Coturnix japonica: one gene and its partners. The protein of the gene in region 3 interacts with the protein of the main gene of each other region in a pairwise test. Links are inferred from orthologs where the notes say so. Each region holds a gene or a part of one and is shown on either strand. Other genes may lie near its edges.

Region 1 (9,893 bases), about 92 Mb from region 3:
GATGGGAATGTCTTGTTGTTGTCAGTACTGTGTTCTCCTGGAATGCTCCCTGCTGATCTTCCTTCACATTTGTATCTGAAACGCATGCCCCTCTGCCTGGGCTGTTCAAATATTTCAATGTAGGGCTCTGAGATACCTTAAAACAAAACAAATCTGTTTAAATTTAGAGCTTAAAAAGAAGCAGAAGGCAGGCTATATGGTTAAATGCTATGTGAAAACTGTAAGGTCTCCACTCTTTGACTGATATTATTCATCTTTCACTTGATTTGTCTTCTCAGATGATAAATGTTTTTTAAAACATGAATGCACATGATAGGGTAAATGGTGTTAATAGACATTACATTAAATCTCCAGGTATCAATGCCATATTAATAATAAACAGGACACCCTCCCCTCCATCTCACCCAGAATTTTAGATTCTTTTAGCTTTTAGAGAGCACGTATCTGATGAAATAATGTTTCATACAACAGAATACACCATTTCAAGAGAATGGTTAACATTCTTCATTATTATAATACGGTTCTCTCCTCAAAGTTCGGGTTCCATCAATATTATGTTTGCTTGAATGCCCTCTGAAAGTGAAGATCTTTTCTCAGTCCATACTGATTTAGTTCCTATTATATTGAAGCAGAAACTATGCAAATCAGGAAAGGAAGAAAAAAAAGTCTACTGGTTTGAATACCATCACTGTGGGCTCAGAAATTACCTGATGGCTTGTATTGAATTCTACAGCTTGAGCTGCCCACACCCCACAGGGCCAGCTATTAGTCGCAGTAACTCTCCAAATCACTTACTGAAAACTATTGGGTCTCACGATGTTTTCAAACTTGAGTTACAGATGAGAATGACAGACAACAAATCTCTTCAATGAAAGGTTTAGAAAGACATTACCTTAGCAAAAGTATCACCACTTTTATAGCAGTGTGACTGCCAGGCAGTAACTAGCTATTTAATGTATCTCACTGTGAACATCAAACAGGACAGTCAATCAAATAGTGACAACAGTGAGATGGCATGTGAAAAACAAACAGCAGAGGATAAGTAAATATTGTAGAGGTTGAATCATCACGGCTCTGCTATGATCAGAAGAACACAGCTTATGGAAACATCTACTGAGCTCTCTGTCATCTTTGTATAATAGCATCCTACTCAGGCGAGGCTTGCGAACATCAGAAACACAACAGGCAATGTGAAAACAGCACTCAGACTTCAACATAAAAAGCAAAATAGTTATTAAATATATTGAAAGCATTAAAAGGGTAAAAGATTCCCTACTTCCTTTTGCCCAAGGTCTAGTTAGCCTAAGGTACTTAGTATATGAATTTGTCAAATAAGTGGATTACAGTCTTAGCTCCATAATGAAACCTTCTCGTTTGTTGCACCTACAATATCTGCCAACACAAAGCTTGAACTTTATGACTGGAGTCTGCTGATTTGTAGAAGATTTACGGTGCTCCAGCAGTTCACACCCCAGATCAGAGGAGATATTACAAAGTAATTAAGTAGAGAATGGGAGAACTCCATTTCTGAGATGTTAGCTTGGTCTTATTTGAACACACATTTCAGCCACTACACACTGACAGACAGCTGTGCAATAGCAGAGTGCGAAAGCTGCTCTGACACCAAAACTGCCTCCAACAACACATGCCTCTTCAAAAGGAACACTTTCTTAAAAAGCCATAAAGCATTTCAACTCCAGGTTGTGTTTTGTTCCAAGCATTAGAGAAGAGCAGTTTAAGACTCTACACGTTCTTTTATAACAATTTACCAGAATGCAGTATCTCAACTGATCATCTACTACTGATTTTAAACCAGCGTCTCAAAACAAACAAGGAGCTGTCACATCAAGCATGCATAGACACTGCTCAAGGTCCAGTTCCTTTACAGGTATGGCCACTTCCATAGGCACTTGCCAAATCTTTTCTAGCCTTCCCTTTACGTAAGCTTTGTTCCTTTTCTCCTTCTGGAAAATAAGTGATGCCAGCAAAAGTGGGTATGATGGACACTAGTAACAAAAAAGCCGAGACATGACATAAAGTTGGTTTCAGGAGATGAGAAGTCTGAGTTCCCAGAGCCAAGCTCACTCCCCAGCATACAGCTTTATAACTTCACTCACATTTACTTATGTTATCCTGTTCAGGACAACCCAGTGGACAAGGCAACAGGCAACTTCTGCCAGCAGTGAGGAGCAATGGCAGCGTACCAGTCAGCCTCCCACTTCCATCACGTAATTGAAGAGGGAGAAGAATCTCACTTCTCCATTCCTACGTAACACCGTACCACAAACATAGACACATATCCATCTACTAAATTAAAAATCTATTTTAGACACTATAATGACAAAATTGTAGCAAAGTACCTACTAATCATCTTACTTTGGAGGTACACATGCTTACAAAGCTGCTAACCAGACGCACCATACGCCCACGTGTTTGCCAAGACGAGGCAGAGCCTTTCTGTTAGAAGTTACTGCAGAACAGAATCGCTTCAAGTCTTTAATCCTCTCTGCTTTAAGCATCAATTTCCCATCGTGCTCTACTAACACTTGCTTATGAGGACTCTTTTTCTTCCCTGTTCAGAGCACTTTATTTTAAAACTCTGTGCTCAACGATTGTGTTGGGACTGTGGTTGAAACAAGTGTCACTGAAAGCAAACCCACTGCTTGACTGCAGGTGTGTGTCTGTGGAAAAGCAAATCTGTGACACGGCAGCCTCCAGAGATTAAACATTCAAATTCATTTCAATCTTGGTTCTCACTCTCTCTGTTTAAGTATCACATTATCATCTCTACCACAATTGTCACTGTCATTATGTTTTCTGCATAGAGGAAACACATGAAAGTATCAGCATGAGCCAAAGGTATTATCAGCACTCTGAAGTGAAGTGGAGGTCTGTTTGGCGTTCCCTATTTCTGTAAATGAGCAATGTGCTTGTGAAGTGCTGTGGTTTAACTATTTCACAACCTACACTCGCACACAGAGAGCTGTCAGTCCTTACAGCTTACTAGCTCCTTTCCACACATTTGTCAGACCACTACGAGCCATGCCTAAGGCTCTCCTCCTTCACTAGTTTTTGAAGAAACACACAGCTATCTCTATTACCTACTTGCTTGTTGCCCCCATGCTCTGAATTCTACAATAAACAATTTTAAAGGAAATACAAGAGACCAAATCTCAACTACATAAAGAGACTAAGTAAGGTCAGTAATAGCACCAAGAACACAGCCAGCTCGTGCTCCTATTTAAGCGTAGAAGGTTGCTTAATCTGTTAGAGTAATAAGAAAGGAACAACAGACTCAAAGACCTCTCCATGATGAGTTTGAAGCTAAACATGGCTGTGCCACCAGGGAGGAACACGGCTGTAAGACACTACCACCAGAAGGACGATGGGTCCCGTCCGTCCCATGTTACTCCTTGGCTCAAAGGAATAATGCTTCAGGAGGACTATATGATTTGCCATTCTCCTGCATGACCAGGAGTAGTACCCTGTGAACATACTCTCCAGCAATCACCAAGCTTGAAAGCAAAGCAGCTGTGGGTCTTTGTGGGAGATGTGAAAGTATCACCCGAAACTCTGATGATCTCAGGTGACAGCAGTGAAACACAGAAGCAAGAAGTGTTGCCCTTCAGCTTTGATGTCACACCTTCTTAGAGATTACTGCTGCCCTTCTGTCCTCCACAGCAACGGCCATTTCTGAGCAGCAGCAGCAACTGCCTGCACATTCCTGCCCTACTTGCACTCAGCCTCTTAGAGGAACTCAGGAAGAAGAGTTGGTGGAAGGTTTGTCATAGAACACTCTGCTTCAATCTCATCTAACCCCAAGCGCACTCACCATTTTATTTTAGAGCAGTAATCCACTGCGGAACCCATGAACCGCACAGATCGTAACACGACAACAAAACGGCTCACTAACTTCCTCTTTACTATCGTACGACCTTACAGAACAACAACCAACAGAGAAAGAAAAAAAAAACAATGACACAAGCTGGCTAGTACCAGGAAGTTGTGAACTTCCCCTGCTGAAAAAATCCTTATCTAGTTCCTAATTACACTGAAAACACATTCAGGGCAAGAAGAAAGCACTAGCTCCTGCTTCAGTTCAGCCTTCTCAAGCACACGCTTGACAGGAGTGAAAGTTTGTACTTTGCTAAGGGTAGCAGAGCACACAGCGCTGGTGCTGAGAGCAGAGAGCCTCCTTCCCATAACGCCAACTAATGCTGCCCAGCCTGAAAGAGACAGCTAAGGAACACCTTCTGAAAGGGCGATATGTGAGTTTTAACTTAGCCTTAAAAAGATAAAACCAACAACCTGATTATGCTTTTAAACGTAATTGCCCAAAGAAGATCCCTTATCTCTGTTGCTCCGCACTTATGACATGTTCCTTACGCAGCTGCATCCTCCCGGCAGCGAGCGCCCACGGGACAGGCACCGCATGGCTCCTGCCTGCTGACGGCCCTGCCCCAGATCCGCCACACCAGCACTTATTGAACACCCAAACGTTTTTAGCAGCACCGATTTAAGAATTCTAAGCCCCGTTCTGAGACGTGACGGTCTCAGGACGGCGTCGCTGCCACCGATATGAACATCCTCACGATATTCCTTCCTCGGCCGGAAGCCTCCGACGGGGTTCGGCCGGAGGGAACGCGACGGAAGAGGAGCTGCTCACGAACAGGGCGGCAGCCGGTCTCAGCGCTGCCCCGTGCCTCCCCCGGGGCCGGCTCCCCAGCCGTGCAGCAGGGCGCTGCCTGAGTCGCGGCCCGCTCCCCACCGCCGCCCCGCTCTCCGCCCGCCCCGCCGCTCACCCGCCATGCTGACAGCTCCGCCGCCGCTCGGGCCGTGCCGCCGCGGACTGCCCTCCGGGGCCGCTCCTCACACCGACGACACCAAGCCCGCTTTCCCCCCGCCCGCCGCCCTACTCCGGGGGGAATTTCCCGACCTGGCGCGGCCCGCCCCCTGCCCGCCCCCGCAGCGCCTGGGCCTGCGCGGGACGGCGGCTCGGCCTGGGCGCGGTGGAGGAGCGGTGCGAGCCGGGGGCTGGGCCGGTCCGGCTTGGTTCGTTCGATTTGAGACTGGAAGGACACAGCTCGGTGCTGCCCTAAACACAGCACTGCTGAATAAGCTCAGACAGAGGCACCTGGGGAACTTTGTTCCTCAGAGCAGAAGCCCTGTTCATAAGGAAAACGATGTTACAAGGGTACACGGCGTACGCTGATGTGGAAGGCAATTTTCCAAGCAATAGAACCGCCATCTGTTATGACTAAAACATCAGTACCCAGTTCTTTTGATGTGTAAGTCTTCGGGCCTGCAGGAACAGGCTACCAGAGGTATTCCTCAGGACTACTTCAGAGACTGAGGAATTAGCTAACACACGGCGATATCTGTGACACTATGACACGAGCTGTTGCTTTATGGTTCATTGTGGTCTTATTTTTTAAGGAAAAGTTAAGAGAGGTGTACTTCTTCACGTCCAAAAGAATTCAATTCAATCTATATTCCTCTAAAGTGAAAACAAGCTTTAATTAAGCAAGAGTAAAGCCAGCAATAGAAGTGCTTCACTGTGTCAAATCTATTTGCACCTACCAATGGAATACGATGGATTTGGCTCAGGAAATCCCTGAACAAAGTGACTGGAGAAAGGACAGGGCAAGCGGAAATTTCTTGCCCATTTCTCTCTGTGCAGTAGTAGACACAAATAAATGCATAGCAAAGAGCATATCTTTGGGACAAAACAAACCCAGTGTAGCTCTTTTGCCATATGCTTATATTCCTAGATGAGGGGAAAGTTGCACAGCAAGAGAGAAGCCTTCTAAGGCAAAAGACCAAACCAAATAAATGAAGCCCTACTCAAAATCATGAAAGCATACGATGCTCTACTCCAGTGACAACCCTGTACAGTTTTACTCTGCCTCAAGCTGAATTTATGGCATGGGATCATCCCCATGAGAGTGACGCAAACTTGGGAAGTGCAGGGTAGTACTAGTAATCACAGAAACCCAGTCAGCAACTGACAGAAAGCTTAAGAACATGTCATAACTTTGGGCATGTGCAGATCTTTGCAAATAGGACGGAATTCCCCTCCTGTAGCATTGCATAACAAAAGCCAGGTGCATCACTTATTTTTGTCAGCTGGCTATTGTGTAGCCAGAGGCAAGATACCAGAATTCTTAGACCAGTTTGATCCAGTGCTTCACTTCCTGTCTTCCAGTTAAAGTGGTTTATGATCCCGTTTTTCTCCACTTATCCAAAGACGAGTCCTCGCTCCTGCTTTTTTTGCTTTCTATCAGCTGACCCTGTTAACACTGAGACTGCTGTAAGAAATTCTGCAAGGAATTCAGCTTCCTAATCTGGCAGAGAATCATAGAACGTCTCAAGGTTCATCAGATTCCAACCCTCTTGCCACAGGCAAGTTTGCTAGCCCCTAGATCGAGTAACAGATCAGATTGCTCTGGGCCCCATCCAGCCTGGCCTTGAGCACCTCCAGGGACAGGGCATTCACAGCCGCTCTGGGCAGTTTTAGTACCTCACCACTCAGTAAAAAACTTCCCCCTGACATCTAGTCATCTAGATCTCCCTTCCTGTAGTTCAAAACCATTTCCCCTTGTCTTATCACTATCTACCTGTGTAAGCAATTGATTACCCTCATGTCATAAACTGCCCTTAAATACTGGAAGGCTGCGATGAAGTCTCCCTGAAGCCTTTTCTTTCCAGGCTGAACAACCCCAGGATGTTAAGGGGCAGCAAGAGAAAAGGACAGAGTGGGGGAAAAAAAAACAAACCCAAAAACAATTCCTACAGCGAAAGAAAACAGAGTGATTGACAGGATACTTGTCAACCCTAAGATAATGGCCCTTTAGTAATGCTTAGCACAGGCATTGCATAATCAAGTCTGCTGAAGCCTGCTCTGCCACCGAGCAGCAAAGGCAAACTTAAGCCTTTATTTTCTCTTCCCAGCTACCTGAAATATCAAAGATAAGCCACTTGTCACCAGCCTGATTAAGTATGCAAGCAGGCATTAAGGCACTTACAGAACTAGGCTCTCCTAGTATCCATAGTACTATGTACTATGAATAAAAAGCATCAATTTTAAAAATAAATATCCTGACCACTTATGGAACCACGTTAGAAGTCCTGCTTTCTTGACAGATATTTCATGTCTCACACACTCCCCTGAATCGTAATTTCCAGCCATGCCTTTTGAAAAGTTTTTATTGTTTTAAGCATGTGTTGTGTGGTTGTGTTTTGGTTTTTTTCTTGTTTCTAATTACTATTTTTTTTACTCTCAAAAGCCTCTTATTTAAAGACTGGCAGGTCTTTTAGTGGTTAAAGCTTTTGTGGTTATTGCTCCTGCTGAGGAGGGTTCCAATGCAGAAGCCATTCCAAGAAAAGTCATGGCTTCCAGATTAATAATAAACTCAAAGGTTGTTCCAGCCATTCTGCTGGGAGCACTCCTGTATTATGCTTTAAATTTGTTTGACATAGAACAATGCTACTGTTCCTCGCCTCAAAACAGGGTGGAGAGAAAGGAAATGCTACAAGGGAAAGGTTGGTCTTGTGGATAAGGCACAAGGCTCTGACTCAGGAGACTGGAATCTGGCTCTTGGCAAGTCAGCCCTTCTGCTCTTAGGCAAGTTGTTTAATTCTGAGCCTCAGCTTCCCCAACAGAAAACAGAAAATACTTCCTTGCTCTCACACCATCTTATTCATTTATGATGCAACCTCACAAGGAGTGAGCTGTTTATTTTAAAATCATAGAATCCTTAACGTAGGAAGGGACTTCTGAAGGACATCTGGCCTAACTACCCTGCAATGCACAGGGACAACACAGCTTCATCAGGTTGCACAAGGTCTGATCCAGCCTTACCTTGAACGTCTTCAGGGACGGGCATCAACCACATCACTGGGCACTGGAACCAGTGCCTCACCACCCTCAGTATAAATTACTTTTTCCTTATATCTACCCAAAATCTACCTTGAAACCAATTCCCTTTGATCTGTCACCACAGACCCTGCTAAAGAGTCTGTTCCCTTCTTTCCTGTTGCTCCCTGCTAGATACTGAAAAGCCACTCTTAGGTCACCTCACAGCCTCCTCTTCTTCAGGCTGAACAGCCCCAGCTCTCTCAGCCTGCCCTTATAGGAGAGGTGTTCTATTCTGTGGATCATTTTCACGGCCCTTCTCTGGATGCACTTCAAGAGGTCCACATCCCTCCTATCCCGAGGTGCTCCAGGTGAAGCCTCACCAGCACAGAGCAGAGGGGCAGATTTCCTCCCTCACCCTGCTGCCCACACTGCTTTTGATGCAGCTCAGCATACAATCATCTCTCTGGGCTGTGAGGGTATGTTGTTGGCTCACATCCAGCTTCCCATCAACCAGTACCCCCAGGTCCTTATCAGCAGGGCTGTGCTCAATCTATTCATCCCGCAGTTTGTATTGATAATGGGGGTTGCCTTGACCCAGGTGCATGATCTTTCATTTGGATTTGTTGAACCTCATGAGGTTTACCTGGGCCCACTCTTCAGCCTGCCTATGTCCCTCTGAATGGCATCCTATCCCTCTGGTGTGTTAACTGCATCCCATGGCTTGGTGTCAGCAGCAAACTTGCTGAGGGTGCACTCAAACCCACTGTTGATGTCATTGATGAAGATATTAGAAGTATCAGGCCCAGCACCGACCCCTGGGGGACACAACTCCACTCAAACACTGAGCCACTGACCACCACTCTCTGGACTTGGTCCTGCAGCCAGCTCTTCATCCATTGAACAGTCCACCCATCAAAACTCTAATCCTTATCCATGAGCACTGAGCACAATTACACTACACTTCCATGAACACTCCTAGACTGTGGTGGTATCAGAGAAGCACTGGGTTGACCTGCAGGGAATAACAATCACTCATTCAAACCTTTAATACAAGCCGTTTTTTTCCCCTTGAGGGCTTGCAAAAGGTGTTATCCACTTAACACCCATTTTGGAATGCAAAATACACAGCCAGAATTATAAAAGAAAAATGAATTGTTTAAACATAGAACGACTAGATACATCTTTCAGTTTGAAGTTTTTCATGACTTATTTTTAAATCTCTGGTCCAGTGACTCACACATCATATAATTCAAGGATTACATCTAGGAATCACCATTCGTAGATGGTGAGAAAGGACAGAAAGGATGCCATTCTTCAGGCTGAACATAAACATATTTTAGGAACAAAATTATGCATAAAGCCACAAACAGTTTGTAGACTGGCCAGCTGTCATCTTATCTGGGCCTGCTTTGCCCCTTCTACAAATTGCCTAGAGCTGTGTCATCATGTCACCTCACCACATAGAGTCTTACCGTCAAGAGCTGTGAGTAAGCCACAACCAGCACCGCTGCTTCTCACTATTTGAATAGCTAGTCTCAGTGTGCTTTGACTTTACATATATATGCATCCAATTTAATGATATGCTGCAGCAAAACCATTTGCATTTTCTAAAAAGCCAACATTCTAGTTAAACTACAATTTTTATCTGCTCTTTCTTGGTTAAAAGGCTGAAGCCCTTTGTCTTCATCACACACAGCACAGTGATCAGTTCTGCTGTTTCACCGTACCTTTCATTTGGCAGTTGCTATATGAACTTGTTAATTTTGTTTTTAAGACACTTGGGGAAAAATTCGATGTCTTGTGTAATCCAAGTAGTGGCTGGTCTCTCTCCCATAACAATATATCTGATAAATGACAGTTTACCTGTATAGCAATTCCACTCATGAATGTTAATGTTCCTAAAAATAGAAAATATCCAAACAAAATCCTCAGTCCAAAATATGATTGTGCCTTAGGTATAGCATATGTATAGGTCACTGTAAGACTCAAAGCATTTTCAGGTATTTCAGATGCCTGGAAAAATTACTTTCTTCTC
Region 2 (9,893 bases), on a different chromosome or scaffold from region 3:
GCCAGTGTAGAGTTCTGGTTAAAATATGGTAAAATTGCATTAGAACACATTAAACAAAAAGACAGAAGATATGGGAACAGACACTATGCTTTCCTAAAACATAATCATTAATTATATTACAGGTTTGGATTGAAAGAGAACCAGTGTGCAAGAAAAGGAGTGTGCAGGTCTGGGTCCTGTGGTCATCCTATGCTAGAAAGCTGCTTTTATACACTCTTTCAGCTTTGAGAATGGCTTTAAAGTGTCCTGGAATCAGATGGACACTCTCAGAGGTGGAGAAGATCATATATGGAAGCAAACCAGAATGGAAGGATAGGAATGACGCATGGGCCGTTTGGTAAGCATTTGGGAGCCTGAACAGCATTACTCCTGCTATATATACAGTGGTTTTTCTCTTTTTTTTTTTCTCTTATTTTTTTTTCTTCTAAAGGTAACCCTATGGCAGTAAGACAGTCCCATTCACACAAAGCTCAAAGTCCTGCTCTCCTTTGCCTTATTTTGTGCTTTCCATTTTCCTCTACCAGCTCCAGCACTGCGCACTTCTCAGTCCGTGACCCACAGGGCCACCATATGGGGCTGCAGTGTCCTTCTGCAGTGTCACACCCTCTCCAAGCATCTCCTTATGGCACTACTCAGAGCTGGGGGATGTGGTGGAGTCAGCGTCCTCTGCATCGGGCTCAGGGGGGGACACTGGTTGTCCACCCTTAACACGCTTCCACTTCATCCTTCTGTTCTGGAACCATACTTTGACCTGGAGGATGAAAAGGATATAATGAGTTATTGCCTCCAGCAGGCTGATTCCTGTGTGTCGATAGATGTATTTTGAGGAATTCTAGAGAAAAAACTGGAAGGAACCTTCCAGGTTTAAGCATTCTCTATTGAATGAAGGTGTTCCAGGCAGATGTTTCAAAGACCAGCCAGCATAGCACAGTGCTTTGCCTGGAATCCATCTTCATCAGCTATACCTGGCAATCCAAATGGCTCCAAATGGCTCCTCCAAACAGCTCAGGATGTGTCCCAAATGGCTTTTTTGTTTGTTTAGAGAAGCAGAACTGCAAGTATTAACTGCTTACAGAGGTTTTTAATGGATGTCTTTTAAAAGAACATGGAGTTTTCATGTTAAAATCATAGAATTATGAGGCTGGAAAAGACCACTAAAGTCACCAAGTCCAACAATCAACCCAATGCTACTATGCCCACAAAACCATGTCCTACAGAGTAATACACCTCTGTGCCATTGCAGCACAGCCCTGGAGTGTTATAGCATTAGGGAGAAGCAGCAAGGGGTGGGGTTTGAGTACCTGTCTCTCAGTGAGGTCCAGGTTCACGGCGATCTCATATCTCCTCAGCCTGGTCAGGTAATTGTGATGGGCAAATTCTGCCTCCAGCTCCCGCAGCTGCTCCTTGGTGAATGCTGTCCTCTCCTTCCTCGACCTGCTGCTGCCTTCTGCCTTGCTGCTGGAGGGCTGGCTTTCTAAGAGGCAAGCAGGTGTGCAATTTGCAGTTAGATTGATCTGTGTGAATGTGTGCCCTACAGCGATGTCAAAGCGCGTTGTGTCCCCTTGAGCTCAGCACTGTCAGCCTTTGCTTCGAGGGGTAAAGTTGGGATGGGGTGAACCACTTGAACTGCAGGAGCAAGGGCCAAAGGGAGCAGGAGGAGGAAGGAAACTCTCACTGCACCCACTCAGCACTCTTGAGTTTCCTTCCCTGTGCCTTTCACATTGTTCCTCCCCTGATTTTGGCTGCAGACTGAAGGCAAAGGGAGCACTTTGCTGTGAGCACGGTGTGTGATGCAATATAAGTGCATGGTGCAGGGGGAAGGGAAGGTTGCTGAGTGAGCACCATAGGCTGGCATTTGGCCTGAGTACACTGGGAGGGAAAATGAGCAGTGCTGGGGTAGTGGCATTCCCTGACTCAGCACTCAGTCCTGCAGGCGTTCAGCTGCTTGCAAGCTGAGCAGAAACTGTTGGACAAATGGCACTGAGGGTGTCACTGGTCTTCATCTCCAAACAATGTGAATCATCTGAAATAGCCTCTGGGAACAGAGCAGGCAGTGCCCCACTTGGTGTTGAAAGGAGATGTATGGCAGAGAGGCTTAGCTGGCAAACTGCTTTGGGGAAGGTGAAAGGACCACACAATGCAGGATTTGGGCATTTCAGGGGGTTCTCCGATCCCTCAGAGCAGCTTAAGCTCAAGCATGGGGGTCACCAATGGTAACACAGGTTGTTTGGTCATTGTGGTGATCCACAGCCCTGGTGGAGGCACCTGGTGCTTGTTATTCTGCAAACCACTGTCAGTGCAGTTTTTCCCTCAGCAGAAGGCATAATAAAAATCCAAAGTATCTGCATAACGTTGCTTTCTCCCCCTAGTAAAGAGTTTGAGGGCAGATTTATTGCAAATCAAGTAGTAAGATGGATTTTGCTGTCACACGGGGCATAAAATCCTGAAAGCTCTTGGGAACGTTGGCCAAGTGAAGTGACTTCATGGGGAGCTGATTCATTTGGCAGCCAGCGATAAAGTAATAACCACAAGTAACTTCAGTGGGCACCTCATGGAGTGGAGCACACGGGGTGGTGACAGATGGAGCTCTGCCCCCAGATCACTTTAAATTGCTGAGGGACTTCCCTACACTTTTCTTGCTCAGGTTTTCAGTTTCTACCTGCCCTTATGTTCTGCTTTCTATGCCATTGTGGCTGTTAATGGGACCTGAAAGCATGAAGCACCCTCTTTACCCAAAGGCATGACTTAGCAAAGTTGTCAGAATCACTATGTTACTACACATCATTACAGCAATGCCTATTTCTTGCTGTCTTATCCTTCAGCTCATGCCTTAATCATCAGCTAAAGTTGGGGTATCCAAACTGCCTGTCTGCAGTTGGCCATTCTCAACAACATTCAACGTGTGAAATCAGAGGGAGGCGTTTCTTTAGACTCAACCTCCACCCAGTGGGCATCCCAGAACTTTCAGTGCTTATCTTATGCTTTTAAAGGCTAATTTAGTTTAGGGTTAGGGCTTGGAATTTCCTTGCTGCTTGAGTGGTGTTGTTAGGTCTTTCCTTGGTAGTAAATGAAAGATGTATGAAGCCCAAAGTCATTACAACACCTTTCAGCCTCTTTAATGCTGTAATTGCAAAGGGGTTTCTATAAATGCTTTGCTAAATTGTACAGCATAGAATAGAGGGTGGCAGGCACAGGGGCAGCTGTGAAAGCTCCCCCAAAGCCAACTGACATCTTCAGGTCACTGCTGTGCCTGGGACACCAGGGCTGAAAATGGCATCTAAATAATGAACACTGGTAGAGGAAGAGAAGGGGATGTGTGTGCTCACACGTGAGGTCTTACTGCAGATACTCCTATTACTATCACACAGTGAAACCGTTCTGTAGCTGCTCTGAATCTATTGGTTCTTTAAAGAAAGTTTTGAGGATTTAAGTGCATTTTGATCTTTTCTACATCTTAGAAACATTTCCATGTCTTGGCTCTGAAACCATAAAATGGGGATGCTGGAAAATACCCTCTGCTTCTCAATACTCTGTGGTTTGCAAATGAATACTGTAGAAAATGTCTGCATGGAAGCATCTGAATCTTAACAGCTTCCTTAGGAGAAAGCAATGTTCTGCATATTTCACATATCGGGAGAACTGAAATAGTAACAAACCAGATGTCTTATGTCTGTAATTCCTGAATGCTTCAGGAAGAAGGTGCTTTGTTGGCAAGGATGGCACAATGAAAACTGATTGTTTCCCATGTTGCTGGGCATTCTACTGGTGGGCAGTTCAAAACCCCAGAGTGGCATTCCCAGCTAGCACGGGCAGCTGATGGGACCTTAGCCCTTTGATCCCCATTCTATCACCCTTGGACTGCAGCAGAGCAGTGGGATGGATCTGCCATCCTAGGGCTCTGAGCGCAGCATGGCACTGAGTTGGCACTGAGCTGCTGCCTAAAGGGTTGGGTTCAGCCAATAAGGAGCAAAACTCAAACACCAAAGGTCATCAAGGGACAAGCAACTTCATTTCCATTGAGATATTGCATAGTTTTCCCTAGTCAAGAATCACAAAATATTTCCTCCATCAGCTTTACTCCATGAGATATTCTCCCCATCCCACCCCACACCCCCACTTCCACGCCACCTACCTGAGTGCTCCTTTTTCCTTTTGGATCCTTTTCTCTCTGTCTCCATCGTGCTGTTTACTGGCACCTCGTAATCTTCACTTACACCCGCTGCTGTGCTCACGACGTTGGGGCTCTCTGTGTCCCCAGAGGCCAACACCAGCCCTGGGCTCAGCAGTCTCCTGGCCTCTGTTGTTGCTTGCTGCCACTCAGAGTGAGGACGGAAAGCTGGGGGCTGCTCCTCAGGTGGGACGCAGTGGGCAGAGCTCAGCAAGCAGGAGGCTGAGAATTCAGAATAAGCAGCAAAATCCACCTTGGGGTGGAAGGAGAAAGGGGCTGGGGGGCAGTGACCCAACCCTGGGGCTGTGGGGACGTCGGCACCCCGCAGGCACCCCCAGAGTGGGGCTGGGGACTGGGGGCTGCGCATGCAGCTGCCTCCGGTGGGGTTCATCCTCGTCCCACGCTCGTCACTCAGGTTCCTCAAGCAGGAGAGGAGAGGAGGGGAAATGTTTCCAGATTTGACAGCCCAGATTTCCTCCCTAAACGACACTTTGGCTGGGGGGTTTGTGAGGTTGGAGGTTTGTTAGTTTGGAAACTCTTCTTGAGGTGTTCATTGTCCCAAATGGATGGAGGAGGCGATCGCCCCAAACAGAGTCCCAAAGCTGATGCTGGAGTCCTTGTGAAGTGCTGGACATGAGGGAAACACTTTTTAAATACTATGTTGGGGAGAGAGTGACAACTTTGTGAAGTGAAATGTGAGAGAGGGGAGGGAGGGGTTAACGTACACACACCCGCTCCCTCCAACCAAAGCAAAGCAGCACCTATTAATCATCCGAAACCTTATATGCACATCTAATGGGATTTGCAGATGGAGACTTTTAAAGAAACAATGTCTGTATTTTTTTCTTCCCCCCCAAAAAAGAAAAAAAGGGGTAGGGGGGAGGGAAGAGCAGTGCACAAAAAAGGGCTTTAATGTTTCCCTGTGACACTATGAAGTTATTTTTATTGCACTGTTAACAAAATTCCCCGAGTTTTGAGGTTGGAAAAAGCCCTTCATACGGAATTCAGCAGATTCCTGAAGCCAAGAAGCGAAGTGGGAAATAAAAGTAAGAAAGCACTTCACTGATTATTTACTGATTTAAGGCCTGGTTGTAACGTTTTGTTTTAGGTGACTTTTGTGCACGTGCAAAGTTTTGGAGGGATTATTGTTCTTTTAGCTCGGTAACACTTGTATTTGCTGATGGTTACTGCTGGTGGCAGTTATTCTTTCTCTATCCTACTTTATGCCACTCCTTCCTACAAGGAAATCTGCCTTTGTGCCAATGTGAGACGTGTTTTTCATCTTTTGCTGAAAGTTTTATGGTTCTTCTTAACACAAAGCAGATTCGCAGACCCCGGAGCTGCCGCTGCTGCTGCATGGGTGTTAGCAGGGAATCTGCTCTCCATCCCTCTGACACAGAGGGTTGGCACCTGGGAACACCCCAAATATCACTGCAGGGCTGCACTGGGGTTACTGCAACTGTTTGTGTGTTTTTAGGGGTAATTTATACAGCCACATGTGCTGTGTTTCTGTAATCTGCTTGCGACCTGCTCCATTGCTTTGCTATGCCTCCCTATAGGTGTGCGCCTCTTTCCCTTTATCCCACCATTTGGGCTGAGTTTGTGCTCTCGTAGACACAGAGGGATTTATCAGATGGGCACAGAGCCTCCGTTTTTCTTTCTTTAAGTGCTTTAAGTGCTACTTTTATTTGGCTTCTGTATAATTCAGAGTTGTGACATTTAAAGGAATCAAATGGAGGGAGAAGTCTGCTCATCCCAATCCCTGCTGGGTTATAGCTTGGGCTTTTCCAAGCAATCAGGTGGGCTTAGCCCAGATCTTTCTGATCAAGAACATCACCTTTTACCTTCACATTAATGTGACTCTCTTGCAAAATGCCAAACACAAATCATCCTCCAGGAAGGGCTCTCCTACATAATTCAATCTGTTCAGAGAGCAAACATTCAGACACGTTTCCCACTGCCTGGCAGGAGGAAAAAGAACAGATTGCTCTGTCTGGAAGGCCAGGTGGCAAAGGATGTGTGGATATTTTGGGCACCAGAAGGGTCCATGGTATAGCCTAGAGTGGTTTTGTCAATGCAGAATATTTCACTTGTGTTCACCCACCGAAGTCATGCTGGGGTAGTAGAGATTTGCATGAGCTCAAGCCTAGGTCTGTGTTTTCCAGCCCTACTCCCAATTCCAGCTAATTAAACAATCGTCTACTTCTCATTTATGTCTATGCATGAATTTTGAGGGAAATAAAAGAGAAGGGAAGTTTATCTGCCGATGTATTGTTCCATTTATCCAGGAGAAGGTTCAGGTTCCGTGCAGGAATCCCATGGGACCCCAGCAGGGCTCTGTTCATGGCACACAGTTCAGTTCTTGCACATCACTTTGCACTCTCAGTTAAACTCGGACCCCTTTTTCCCCACAGAGCTCTTTCTGTTGTTGTTCCTCTGACTTCAGATGTGGGAAAAGGAGACGGCAGACCCTCCTCAAATGTGGGAACCCCCCAGTCCCGCATTGCCCCAGCACTCTCTGCAGCTGCTGCTGTCACTCAGCAGCCCAGCGGGGGCTTGTTTGCCCTCTGCATCTTTCTGACACTTCATTCCTGAAGGAAGCAAAAACAACATCCCTCCCCTCTTGCCCAAGCCCATTTGTTGGACAAGGCAGCCACCTTTAACCTCTGCAGAGTCAACATCTCTTCTGCCAGACCCCAGGTTGGTTGGGAAACATAGGATTGATGGGTGCCATAGGCTTCAAACCCAGGAACAATTAGGAACAGTTTCTTCTCATAGGGCTGCCCAGGGGGGTTGTGGAGTCACTGTCCCTTGAGGTGTTCAATAACCATGTGGATGTGGCACTGAGGGATACAGTAATGGGCATGGTGGGATGGGTTAGGATCTACATAAGGATATATCTACATAGTAAGATCTGGGTTCAGTGTCAGACTCACATATCTGCAGGAACAGTAACCACTGCGTGTACTGAAAGCTGCTGTCCCAATTTATAGAGGCTGTTGGTTTGTAGGTATTGAGGATGGAGCTGTCTGCTCCACCATGTGTAAAGATGGTGGCTGGAGAAATGAGAGTGGGCACATGAGTAGTAAGCAAAGGGATAAACACACAGAGAGATGGAGCATGAGCAGGAAAGAGGGGAAATCGGGTCCTGGGGGGGCTTCACTCCACCTGCAGAGGGCTGGGGCTGAAAGGAAATGCCAAGGCCAGAGATGGGCTCTCTGGGTTCATCTGTCAATTTTAATAGTTTTCTCAGCATCCTAAAGGAATAAAAGAACAGAAAAAGTGTAAAGTTTGGGCTAATCGAGACAGTGAACCTGGGAGGGAAAGATGATCTCCTTGAAATGAAAGCTAAAGAGCTGTGTGGTTAAAGAGCTATATTAAAAGACATTAGCTATTGGACAAAACGTCAGGAAACATTAACTTGCATTTTGCTGTAATCCCCTATGGCAAATTAGTCTGGTTTAAAAGGCCTGGATTTGCAGGAAACCAGTATGAGGGTTTTTATGGTTTCGGGGGAGGAAATGGAGTGAGAAAGGCTGTGTTACCTCTAGAAAAGAAGTGGTTTGTCATGGTGATATCAGCTGTTTGATAGATTCACCTCTCCAAACTTCTAGGAATGGGACTGGTGTCTGTTTGTAGGCAGAACTCATGCAGCAGTGATGTGACCTGGGGCCAATCTTACTAGAGAAAAAGCCCCAAATATCTTCTGAGGCTGAAGTATAGCACATACCCTGGGTTACATGGCCATTCATGCTTTAAGCCTGGAAGGATTTTGCCGAAAAACATAGTAAAATAAGTTTAAACTGTATATATATATAATCCTATCATCTGTTGTTCGCCACATTTTCATCCTAACATCACTCTCATGCTTTAGCTGCAAAATCCACAAGCAGATGAAAGCAGGTTCCTATTGCATCTCCTGAGGTTTGAGGCAAACACCCCTGACTGCTTCTGCACACGAAGGCGACTGGAAAGGAACAGCAGTGGAATGAGCATTTCCCTCCCCAACACATAGGCTGAGAACAGTGAGCAGCGACTGAGAGCTACACACGTCCAAGCAATGTTTTGTTAAGCAAAGCATGGACATGGGATTTGTGAAGCTGTCCATCCCAGAGATTAATGCTGGATCTGCATTTCTGTCCAACACAGTCAGTGCAATGGCAGAGAATATTGAGTCTGGGTGATCTTGTGCTTGATACATTAATTAATCTGGATGGTCTCTTTGCTATGGTGCTCTTAAAAGCGTTATCTCAGGGGCAATCTTAAGAAAATACTTCAGTTGGCATTGATTTAATGACTCGAGCTTTTATCCTCCACCTCCTATTTCAGCTGTTCTGTTCCAAACAGTTGACTTAAAAAGGAAGGGAGAAAGGATGGGGTTCTGTTACTGAATTCATTTGGAAGCTTTGCTGTCTCCTCTTTCTTCCTATTGCTTTCCTTGGGACTCCAGCAGCAGGAGCAGTGAGAGCAGCATCACATTTGTTCCCTATTTGCCCTCAGTTATGTTGAGCCATTCGCAAGCTGCATCTGACTACCTGCACTCATTGCTCTCATACCTCCAAAGAGACTGACAGATCTGCTTGTTGCATTTGCCCTTTCCTTTCTTCCAAAGCACACCTCTCATTTCTCAGCCTATTTAATTTCCTACGAACACGAGAAATACGGGTGATTAAACGCTCACTCTGAATATAGAACTTTTCAGAAGAGCTCATAATTTTCACCTCTGCAAATGATGAAGAACCTGGCAATGCAAAATATGGTATTTTAAAATACTTTTTTCTCCTTTTTTCCCCCTCATTCTTCTTCTTTTCTCTTTCTTCTTTCCCCCCTCTTGTTTTCCCCCATCTTTTTCTCCTCCTTCCTTTTTTTCTCCTTCTCTTTATTCTTTCTCCTCCTTCTTCTGTTTTCCCAGTTCTTCTATATCTTCTTCTTTTCCTCACTCCTTCCTTTTTCCTCTTCTTCTTTTTCTCTCTTCTTTTCTCTCCTCTTCTTCTTTCCTCTTCGTCTTTTTCCTCTTCGTCTTTTTCCTCTTCGTCTTTTTCCTCTTCGTCTTTTTCCTCTTCGTCTTTTTCCTCTTCTTCTTTTTTTTTTCACTCCCTTTCTTTCCCCTCTTTTTCTCCCTTCACTCTCCAGCTTCTATCCTACTGTTGCCTTTTCACTTTTTCTCTGCAGCTCTTCCTGAATTTATCCCTGTTTTTGCCCCTTACACTTAGATTCCCATTGGCTCCATGGGCTGCAGCCCTGGCTGCTCACTCCAAGCCTTGACCAGAGCCCTGAAGGCTTTTCCCTGCCATGTTCCTTCCTTTCCCCTTTCCCACTCTGTCTGTCTCACCCCACAGCTGGCACCGCTACCCCCAGGATTCTAATTTAACGATAATGTTTCTCTTAGCACTAAGTCAATATTTCCGGTATTAATTAAACCTGCTGGCTTCACAGGAGCAAAAAAAAAAACCCAGACTGTTTCAGGTACAGGAAGCTCAAGATGTGCTCAGAGACACTTATGTGATAATTTATTTGAGGAGAAAGAGCAATAGAAACAAAAAGCAGAAGAGAGGTGGTCAGCTCCAAGTTTGGGAGAGTGTTAAAAAGGGAAAATTCTGTCTGGAAACTGCTTGATCACACTGCACAGCACATAACCTGATGCTTGTAACCTTTTTATTTGAAAGCTCGCTATTTTTTGACTACTTTTATGGCTCCAATGTGGAGGTTTGAGTTTTAGAGGTGT
Region 3 (9,853 bases):
TCCCAGGGTGTCACAAACAACACGCTGCCCAAGTGCTGCATTTAACCATCTGCTGGCTGACAGCTTGCAATGCTCGGGCTGAGGAACACAGGAGCTGATAGGGAGCAGAATGGAGGCATCGTGCTTGAGCAGCTCTGCTGGGATAACGTGCATGCTTTGCTGCACGTAGTAGGGCAGAGCTGAGCACCTCCTGGAAAGCTTTGCTCAATGTGGTAGAGCACTTCCCAGTGGCCCAGCGTAGCATGGACACCTCCCACCCAATACAGCCAACTAGTGCTGGTATATAAGACACGTACATGGACACCCCTGGCCATCAGCATGAACACCTGGTGGCAATGCATGGACTCCACACCCCCTGCTCAGCCCAACCGTGCACCCCCAGTATTCAGGGCCATTGCACAGAGCCTAAAGCAGCTCAAACATGGAGCCCTGATGCCTGGGGATATTGCATAGCCACCTCCTGCCATACAAATCAAGCAGCCACAGCATTATGGGGACACTGTACAAACTCCACAGCTATCTCAACACCCCCAGCACTATTACATGATCCAAACTTGCTGCTATCCCAAACACCCCAAATGCATGCAAATACTACGGACACCCAGATCTGCTCAGCCACGCCGCCAAAGAGCCTGGGGACACTGCATAGAGCCCTCCTACTATCACAACCCCAGTGCACGGGAGCACTGCAGTCCCCCCTCGACCACCCCCCAACCCCACTCACCGCAGCTCTCCATCCAGAGCCTGGATAACGGCGGCGAAGCTACGGCTGGTCTGATTGAGGTAGCGATAACAGGTACGGAGTCCGAGTCCCAGCGAGTCCTGCGGGCACAACGGGGGGTATAAGGCGGGGGGCTGAAGGCGAACGGCCGGGGGGAGCCCGGGGAAGGCGGCAGAGCTGCGTTGTCCCCTCCGTCCTCCGCCCCGCAGCCTCCCCAGCGCCGTGCGGGGTGCGCCCCGAGGGGGGGACAGAGCCAACGTGCGCTTCAGCAGAGCCCTGGCTTTGCTGCTGGCCGCCATGGGCACAACGGGGGGGTGGGGTATGGGGGCTGGCTAAGGGAGGGGGCTCCGCCCCGAGACCGGCCCCCTAAGAGCGGCGCGCCCCCTGCCAGCACTGCCATGCGGGTAATGCGATGTACCGGGAGCACGGGGAGCAGGGGGAAGCGGCACGGTGCAAAAAGCGGTGCGGGGTACCCGAGTGTCAGGGCTGATACAGAGCATGGGGTGCTGCTGAAGGGCAGCCCGGCTGTGGGGTGCTCTCAGCGGCTGTGATACATGCAGAGCATCCCGGCTATACAATGCTCACAGCAGATGTGATACATGGAGAGCATCCCGCTGCTGTGCGATGCTCCTAGGAGCTGTGATACATGCAAAGCACCCTAGCTATGCAATGCTCCTAGGAGCTATGATACATACAAAGCATCCCGGCTATACAATGCTCTCAGCAGATGTAATGCATGAAAAACAACCCGGCTGTACGATGCTCCTAGGAGCTATGATACATGCAAAGCATCCCGGCTATACAATGCTCCTATGAACTGTGATACATGCAGAGCATCCCAGCTGTGCGATGCTCCCAGCAGATGTAATGCATGCAAAGCACCCCGGCTATGCAATGCTCTTAGGAGCTATAATACAGGCAAAGCAACCCCGGCTATGTAATGCTCCTAGGAGCTATGATACATGCAGAGCATCCCAGTTGTGAGATGCTCCCAGCAGATGTGATACATGCAGAGCATCCCGACTATACAATGCTCCTAGGAGCTATGATACATACAAAGCATCCCGGCTATACAATGCTCACAGCAGCTGTGATACAGGCAGAGCATCCCAGCTGTGCGATGCTCCTTGCAGTTATGATACATGCAAAGCACTCCGGCTATGCAATGCTCTTAGGAGCTATAATACAGGCAAAGCAACCCCGGCTATGCAATGCTCCTAGGAGCTATGATGCACGCACAGCCAGAAGCAGGAAGCTGCTGCAAAGCACCGCGGCTGCGTGCCGTCCCAAAGAGCCGCGATGCTCCTTAGCATTGCGCTGCTCACAGCCCATGCGATGCAATGGAAAGCCCAACCCGGCGCAATGAAAGGAAGCTGGTGATGCTCATAGCAACCGACCCCCCCATAAGCACTCACCGGGTCCATACGAGGCATCACAGCCCGGTACCCGCCCATCTTGAAGCGCAGCAGGTGGTAGATGTCCTCGGGGTGCCCCAGCCATTTCTTTAGCAGCTCCATCACGGTCACACCGCCACCACGCGCGCTCCCGCTCCCGCTCCCCGTGCGCGCTCCCGACGCCCACCACCTCAAACCCCCCCCGCTTAACAGCCAATGGGCGGAGCCGCACCGCCCCCTTCGCCAATCAGCTCGCTCGTCCCATGGCTCGGTGAGCGTGAGGAGAGCTCATTGGGTGACGTCTGCTCGCACCAGCCTTGCGCCAGCCAATAGGAGAGCGGCGAAGCTGGTGTGACGGCCGGCGGAAGGAGCTGATTGGGCGACGGCGCCCACCGGCACTCGCGTGGCCGAGAGGAGGGGCTTAATAATGGCTGCCCCGCCTCCCACCTCATCTCAGCCCCCTCTTAGAGCATCCTCGGGGGGTCCTTATGGGGTCCTATGGGGTCTTATGGGGTCCTATGGGCTCTTTATGGGGTCCTATGGGGTCCTTATGGGGTCTTCTAATTAACTTAACGACGGGTTTTAATGAGCACTGCCATCCTTACCAATGGGACACACACAGATCAGAGGTGGGCAGAGATGAGCAGCACCGAGCGCTGCTGAGGTTTGTTTTCAGCCTTTGGAAGGAGGCTGCTAAGAGCTGATGGAGGGAACGACCATTTAATTGCAACCACACCTGGTCACCGTATAACGTACACCCCATTGCTGTATAACGCACACCCATCTCTAAGCAGACAAGGGATTATCTAACACTGAACGACACAAGACCTTAGAGAAAGACAGGAACACAGCCACGTCACTCATCACCCAGAGCCAGATCCCCACCCCCTGACAGCACAGCAGGCTGGCACTCAGGACACCACCATGTCAGCCTCTTCCAGCCACCCGGGGCTCCTAGGGCTGCTTTCATCACCTTGTGCCCAAGAGGACACTGCTCCTTCTGATAGATGTGTAGGTGCAGCCCTTTGCCTTGCAGCTTGCTCTGCAGCCAGTCGGAGGTGAACCTGATGGCACAATCAAGCAGGTGCTCCAGATCCGATTGAGCCAAGAGAGATCCTTGTGTTAAAGGATGGATCTTAGTTAGGTACAGGACTTCGTTCTTAATGATGTTGCCTGCAAAGGGTCAGAAATAAGGAGATGGGAAGGATGTTACTATTCAACACGATACGATTTCAGCCTGAAGGTCCACCAAAAGGACTGTGTACCCTCTCAGCAGATCAACCCAACATCATAACATTAAAGATTAGAACTTCTAACATGCAGATCCGGGTGTAGGCATCCCACCCTCCCCTTCCTTGCTTTGCCACTGTGCTCTGCATCTCACCCAGCCCTGAGAAGTATCTCTGGTCCAAGAGGGTGTAGCAGACGGGATGGGATGTGCGGAGGGCATCCAATGCCCGGCCACGGTGGAACTCTGCAGACAGGATGTCAGAAGTGGGATCAGCCACTGGAGATGAGCACCAGTGCATTCGGCAGTTGTAGAAAGCAAGGAAGCCTCCACTCTCAAAATACAGCACCAGCCTGGGAGAAGCAGAGGAGATCATTAGCCACAAACATCCCTAATCCATTTGTTTATATTCGGTTCTCTCCAGGCTTGCTGAGAAAGCAGTTCAGCTTTTAAGGTTCTAAATCTGCACAACTCATGGACAGTTATCCCTCCTGCTGCCTTGGAGGCTCTGAAGACAGCAGCAAACAGAGATGATCCCTACAGCCAGTTGCATGGGAAGACGTACAAGTAGATATTGAGACTCCATAACCTCAAATTAAACAGTTCATAAGAGCTGGGTCCACACTGTCCTTCAGTATTTACCCCTTGTTAATCCATTTCCAGTGCCTCTTAATACACCACCTGTGACCTGGGCTCCTACAAATGGTCTTCTCACTGCTGTCTCTTAGATGCATGCTATTAATCCAGTGATTATCCAGTATAATAATAATACAGTGAGTCTAATAGTCAGATGCTGAGGCTGGAGTAGGCAGAGGGCAGAAAACCTCTTACTAAGGGAACAACACATAACACCAAGACAGTGAAGCACACCCAAGGCAAACCAACCAGTGATGACTCCCTGGTTGAACACGACTCGCATCTACTTAAGACACACAATGTCACCACCTTTAACACCAAGGGGAAAGAAGGAGGAGACGGACAGAAGGAGGGACTGCCAAATACCTGGGTGTAGGGTCCTTCCAGTCCCCCCTCTTATTGGCTCTGCTTGCTCTTGAGAACTCATTTGCCCGAATGCTGCCAAACAAGCCAAAGTGGAAGCGCAGCCAACTGCCTCCCAGCTCCCCTGCTGCACTTGGGGCATCAGCTCTGGAGTCCTGCAGTTCCTGCAGCTCTTCTTCCTGGGGAGGAGTCGATTGAGTGCAAACCTGCTCTTGTTTTCCCTGAACAAAGGAACTAGATGCTGCAACAGCCTGTTTTTGCAGCACAGTCTCCTCCACGCTTGGTCCTAAGGGAGAACTGGCTGCCACAAATGCTAGGAATAAGTTCTTCCCATGGACCTGGAGGGGGAAAATAAATAGATAGATAGAAGTGGGAGGTACTGATGCCATTCTCAGACCATACACCTTCATGCACAGATGCAGGACAGCTGTGGCTTCTCTCTCAGACCAGCCCACAGTTTGCTATGGTCATGCTCAGCACAGCTCACCTGGGAATCCTGGAGCCTCAAGGCATTCAGGTCATTCACATTAATCTTCTTGCTGCTTCCCCCCACCTTGGCCACCACTTGCCCCACAAAACGTGAGGTCAGCAGCTGGAACTTCCTCACTGATGGGCCCTCTGGCATCTCTAAATGGTTCTCCTTCTCACACTTGCTGCCCTAGAGCTGAAGGGAAACTTGCAGCTGATAAAAAGAGCTAAAAAACACAGGGAAGCAACAGCCCACAGCAACTGAAACTAGAGCCTTCAGTGGGGCTTGCTTTTGCCCCTTCCAACCCATCTTCTGCTTGAGCAAGGACACATCCTCACCCACTGGAGCTCTCAGCCCGTAAGAGGCAGAAGCCAGCAGCCACCTACACAGGGTGATGAGCTGCAGTGGGGTGTGGATGTACCTCAATAGGGCTGGGCAAGGCAGCACAGCTATAAAGCCTTGCTGCAGTGAGCCAAAGCCTTTTAGTATGTCAGAAAACATTATCTGGATCTAAGACATGAAATAAAAAGGTATTAACTGGTTATACAAACATGATTGCTTTAGCAGCAACAGAAGACTGAGCTTAATCCCTGCGCTTCCTAGGGCAGGAAGTAATCAAATCACACCTTAGCTCCATTTAGCTCCATGCCACATTCAGACTGCAGGCAAAAAGCCAGTAACAGGTCAAGAGCCACCTAGAAGACATGCCTGCTTCTAAAGGTGCCAGCTGCAGTCCAAATCCTTGGGATCAGCTCTTGATACAAAGGGCTCTGCCCATTTCCTTCACGTCTTTACCCCAATTATCCAGGCACCAAGCAGCACAATACAGGGAAGTCACCCAACACCTTCACACACAATGCAGACCCCCTCCATCCCCCAAAGCAAGCACTCACTGCACATTCCCCTGCCCCAAATGCTACACCCAGCCCCCAAGCCATTAACCTGCACACAGCAGACTGAGCAGCCTCCTCCCCTCTTCCCTATTCCATTGCCAGCTTTTTCTACCTCATGCTCTTGAACCACTCCCTTGCCTTCAGTCACTTCACCAACACTCTCAACCCACACCAGCACTGCCCTCTTCCCATCCTTTACACCCAAAAAATCCCTTCTTACACTGCTACAAAGAAAGCCCTTCCACCCACTAACACACAGCAATAGCTCCTCCACTGGCTGCTTAGGAAGAAATGAGTGAGGTTTCAAGTGCTGGCCTCACCCACCTCACCAATTACACCAGGACCCAGAGTCTGGTTGAACTGGGAAAGGCTCTAAATGCCCTACCAGGCAGAGGAGGTTATTGTATGAGGGTTGTGTGCACTTTCAGCTTATGGGTGGCATCTGTGGGCTCAGCTGAAAGCCATTAGGCTAAATCAGCAATGTGCTCCACAAGCCCATGTCTGTGAAAAGAGCAAAAAGATGAATTACGATGGCATGAAGGTGCCCTCCTAGCATAGGAACTCATCCTTTTCCCTCTGTGCTCAGGGTGGAAAACACCTTGGGGTGTTTTTCTCCTTATGCATTAAAATAAGCATTGCTTTTCCAGGTACGCTGTATACACGTTCAATTACCCCCAATCCTCCCCTGGAAGCCCACCAGGAAAGTCAAGATTCAAGCAGCAGCCTTTTGGTTTTATTATTATTGTTTTATTTCCATTAGTTCTAAAGGTGTAGACATTACGTGGATTGGTAGCCATTACTACTTCATAACATAGATATTTTTTACATCTTTAAATAATTACAGCTTGTTCAGTTGGTTGCTTTCCCTCTTTCCCCCTTACAAATCGGTGTCTGTTTCCATGGGACTTCCCCAGCTGACATGGGAATCTTCCAACTTTATGTATGAGAAAAGAACAAACCAACTACCCAAACCAACAAACAAAACCGAACGCCACCCCTGGCACAGTCACAGCTTCAGTCATATTAACTGCTGTCGTATTCAGTTACATTGAGAGTTGTTGATTGGTTTCGAAAGCTCCCTTGCAATACTCCTGAGCTCCTCCTGATCGGAGAAGGTGTCTGATCAGCCCATGTAATTGCAAGTGAAATATGGATCTCTTTGGATTAATTTATCAAACAAAAAACATCAATGCAATTCAAGATATTGCACTTTCACAAGGAGGAAAGACATTTAAAAGTGATAAATGACCTTTCTACCCCTTCCTCTCTCTCCATCCCAGTTCTCATCTTCCCATCTCGTCGTGGAGCCGTAGCAATGATATCTGGTTTGACACAACCCAGATGTGTGCTGGCATCCCGGTTTATGTGTATGGTTAATGCTGAGCTTTAAGGGAACAACTCCTGCAAAGACGTTGGTAGATGCGCTCAAGCGTTTTGCAGGACCAGGCTCTTTGCTCTTTCTCTTCAGGGAAGAGATGGTTCTCAGCTCTGTACTTTGTGTGTGTGTGTAAATACACAAATTCAGGCCTATCGTTGTGTGGTTGATGCTAGAAGGGACCTCTGGAAGTTATCTGGCTAGTGGTCCTCAGCTGGACATCCAGACATGCTGCAATGGAATAAATTGTAGCAGTAATAATAGCAACTCTTGTTTTACTATGTAAGTCTCTAATACTTGTATTTTATTTCATTAACAAGGCGGGGTCTCTGTGCTTCTCCTATCAGTTGAAGGAAAGCAGAGCTCAAATGTAACCCCAGATTTTCAGGTTGAGCTGAACTTCTTGGTAGGACTGCCATTCTCATGTCCTCTAAGTATCCCTTCATGCATCATTTCTGCTGCTTCATGCTTTGTTGGCAATCCGAGGTGCATCTGAACTTCAACTGCTTGTAAAAGGAGTGGCAAAAGAGCTCATTTCTACCACGAAAAGGTTGAGCTGTCCTTGCAGCCCATAGAACCTCATGAAAGCAGATGTCTTGTTATCAGGGTCTTTGTAAATGCTCCTCAGTGTTCAGTTTTTAAGGCTGTGTGGGAAGCAGAAAACCAGTTAGCCCAACTCTGTCATTTAGGTAACCTAAGGGGATGTGAGCCAGGGAATCACCAGACTTAATATCTCACAGGGTTTTTCTGCTTGGCATTGCAAGCAGACTCCTTTAGGGCACTTAGGAGTGTGTTTTATGGACAGGAGAGAACTTCAGCCAGGAATTTTGGCTTTGAAGACAACACAAGGAGTAAAAGGGCAAGGCAGAAAAAGCCTTTGGGAGCATAAGCACTGAGGGAGAAATGCTGCACGTTTGGTCTGGACCTTTGTTCCTCTCCAGGAGGCTGCCTGCTTCCCTCCTCCTCGGGCTGACCAGGTTAGTTTTAAACATCTGAAATGTGTGCATGAGCCAAGAGGCACCTCTGGGGTGTGTTCTTCTCTGTCACAGACAAGATCACAGTTGCATCCCAAGAGATCTCGGCTGAGGAGTTCAAAGCAACGCAGCACAAGGAGGAGACTGACTAATGTCCTGCGTGCTCTTGGAGAAACACCTTCATGTTTTCTTTCACCCCAAACTCAGGTTCTTAGGTGCTATTTCTGGCCTCTTCTCTGCAGGCTTCTGGGCTTCAACAGAACCACAGGATTTCAGGGTAATGTTTTATTAGTGTTTCATTGAACGTCTCTTCCTTGTCTGTAGTTAATAAACTGATGAGTTTGGACCTTACATTAGCTCTGAAGGACAGAGTGTAAATTCTGTGGTTATCTTGCAAGTGGCAGATGGAAAACCTTCCCAGGTCAGGAGTTTCATTCCCATAAGCCAGCTGAAAGGCACTCCTCGTCAATGGGAAGACCACACTTCTTATGGGGAAGCTCATTGAGGAGCCTCAAGGTGCAAACACCTTCCAGACAACCCCATGGCTTCACATCTCCAGGTGAGTCTCTATCATCCCTATAAACCCCTGCAAATCTGAGTTACTGAGCAGAGCAGGGGCATTGTGGAGGGGACCAGCTCCCTGCTGTGCTCCATTTCAACTATCTGTCACGACCAGTCCAGTTGAATCCTTCTCCTTAAAGAAACTTTTCAGCCATCAGGAGGAAAATAGAGAGCTCAAACACAGATAATACAAAGTCTTGGTTTTGCTTCAACCATGTTTGTGGCTTTCCTCTTCACCAAGCCACGTATCTTGGTATTTCATCAGAAACACTCCTTGGGGGAATAGTGAAGAGTGAGTCTAAGATGGAGGGTGGCACCTTATATCCTTCAGCATGTTCTGTAGGGACGCACCGTCCCTCTTCTGGCAGTTCCATAGTCAAGTTCTGGATGCAGGGAAGAAAAGAAGGAGCTGGGGAGGCAAGAAGGAGGGTAATGGAGTTTGGGAGCAGACAGAAACAAGGCTGGAGAATCTTGTAGGATGAGGTGTCCCAGAAATTCTCTACCTGTACAGGCAAAGCTGTCCCTCCTTGGCAATTATGATGCAAACATGGTGGCAAGCATCTGTAGAAGCATTTAGATGGCACAGAGGAGCTGTAGCGTATGCATTGCTGGATTTTGTGAAGCACATGCTGGACAAAGAGCAACTAAAGGTAAGTTAGGTAGAACTGATCCCTCTTGGACAAGGGAATGAGTCTGTGATCTCTTAGCATCACTTTCAACTCAGTTTTCCAGAGTTCTTGCTAAAACGCTTATGGTTAAACAAAAGCATGAGTTTTGTTTAGTACTTGTGTATGAATGGAGTTAAGCTTCTCTTGCAGGCAAGCAAGTCTATGCACATGCTTAGTAAAGAAGATGGCCCCTTCCTGCACCCATTAGAGGCCGAGGACTTTTCTTGTTGTGAAAGGTGAAATCCTTAAGGGTTAGACATGGCAAATGGTCATGAGCCAGCTGCTGGGGGACAGTGGGCACTCACAGTACAATGAGCAATAAACGACAATCAGATTTCATCAATGACAACAAAGACAACAGAACAGTATGCGAAATAATTAAATTAACTGTCTCAAAAGCAACAGCACAGCAGTGTTAAAGAGCAACCTTTCACCTGCTGTGCTCTACAATAATCTCTAAGCCTGGCTTGTAGCTATTTATAAGGGAAAAGCCCAACAGTTTCATCCAGGATTTGATGACCAAGGTGGGTTTCCTCTACCCGCTTCTAGAAAGTTTCTCCTTCCAAAATCC

Evidence for each region.
Region 1: the proteins of NEIL2 (region 3) and REL interact in binary tests that used the Homo sapiens proteins (3 or more experiments, as listed by UniProt). The two-hybrid records come from large-scale screens. The link is inferred for Coturnix japonica from reciprocal best matches to the Homo sapiens genes NEIL2 and REL.
Region 2: the proteins of NEIL2 (region 3) and MEOX1 interact in binary tests that used the Homo sapiens proteins (3 or more experiments, as listed by UniProt). The two-hybrid records come from large-scale screens. The link is inferred for Coturnix japonica from reciprocal best matches to the Homo sapiens genes NEIL2 and MEOX1.

Annotation. Positions count from the first base shown.
Region 1 is NC_029518.1:5,506,072-5,515,964, forward strand, and holds the start of REL (proto-oncogene c-Rel), read right to left. Parts: upstream 4,946-9,893; 5' UTR 4,810-4,945; coding exon 4,803-4,809; intron 137-4,802; coding exon 1-136. UniProt on the Homo sapiens protein: Proto-oncogene that may play a role in differentiation and lymphopoiesis.
Region 2 is NC_029542.1:2,903,329-2,913,221, reverse strand, and holds the start of MEOX1 (homeobox protein MOX-1), read right to left. Parts: upstream 4,823-9,893; 5' UTR 4,560-4,822; coding exon 4,133-4,559; intron 1,475-4,132; coding exon 1,302-1,474; intron 752-1,301; coding exon 629-751; 3' UTR 1-628. UniProt on the Homo sapiens protein: Mesodermal transcription factor that plays a key role in somitogenesis and is specifically required for sclerotome development. Required for maintenance of the sclerotome polarity and formation of the cranio-cervical joints.
Region 3 is NC_029518.1:97,932,789-97,942,641, reverse strand, and holds NEIL2 (endonuclease 8-like 2), read right to left. Parts: upstream 6,086-9,853; 5' UTR 6,029-6,085; intron 5,967-6,028; exon of another isoform or gene 5,925-5,966; intron 5,007-5,924; 5' UTR 4,968-5,006; coding exon 4,830-4,967; intron 4,681-4,829; coding exon 4,346-4,680; intron 3,697-4,345; coding exon 3,500-3,696; intron 3,289-3,499; coding exon 2,972-3,288; 3' UTR 2,935-2,971; downstream 1-2,934. UniProt on the Homo sapiens protein: Involved in base excision repair of DNA damaged by oxidation or by mutagenic agents. Has DNA glycosylase activity towards 5-hydroxyuracil and other oxidized derivatives of cytosine with a preference for mismatched double-stranded DNA (DNA bubbles).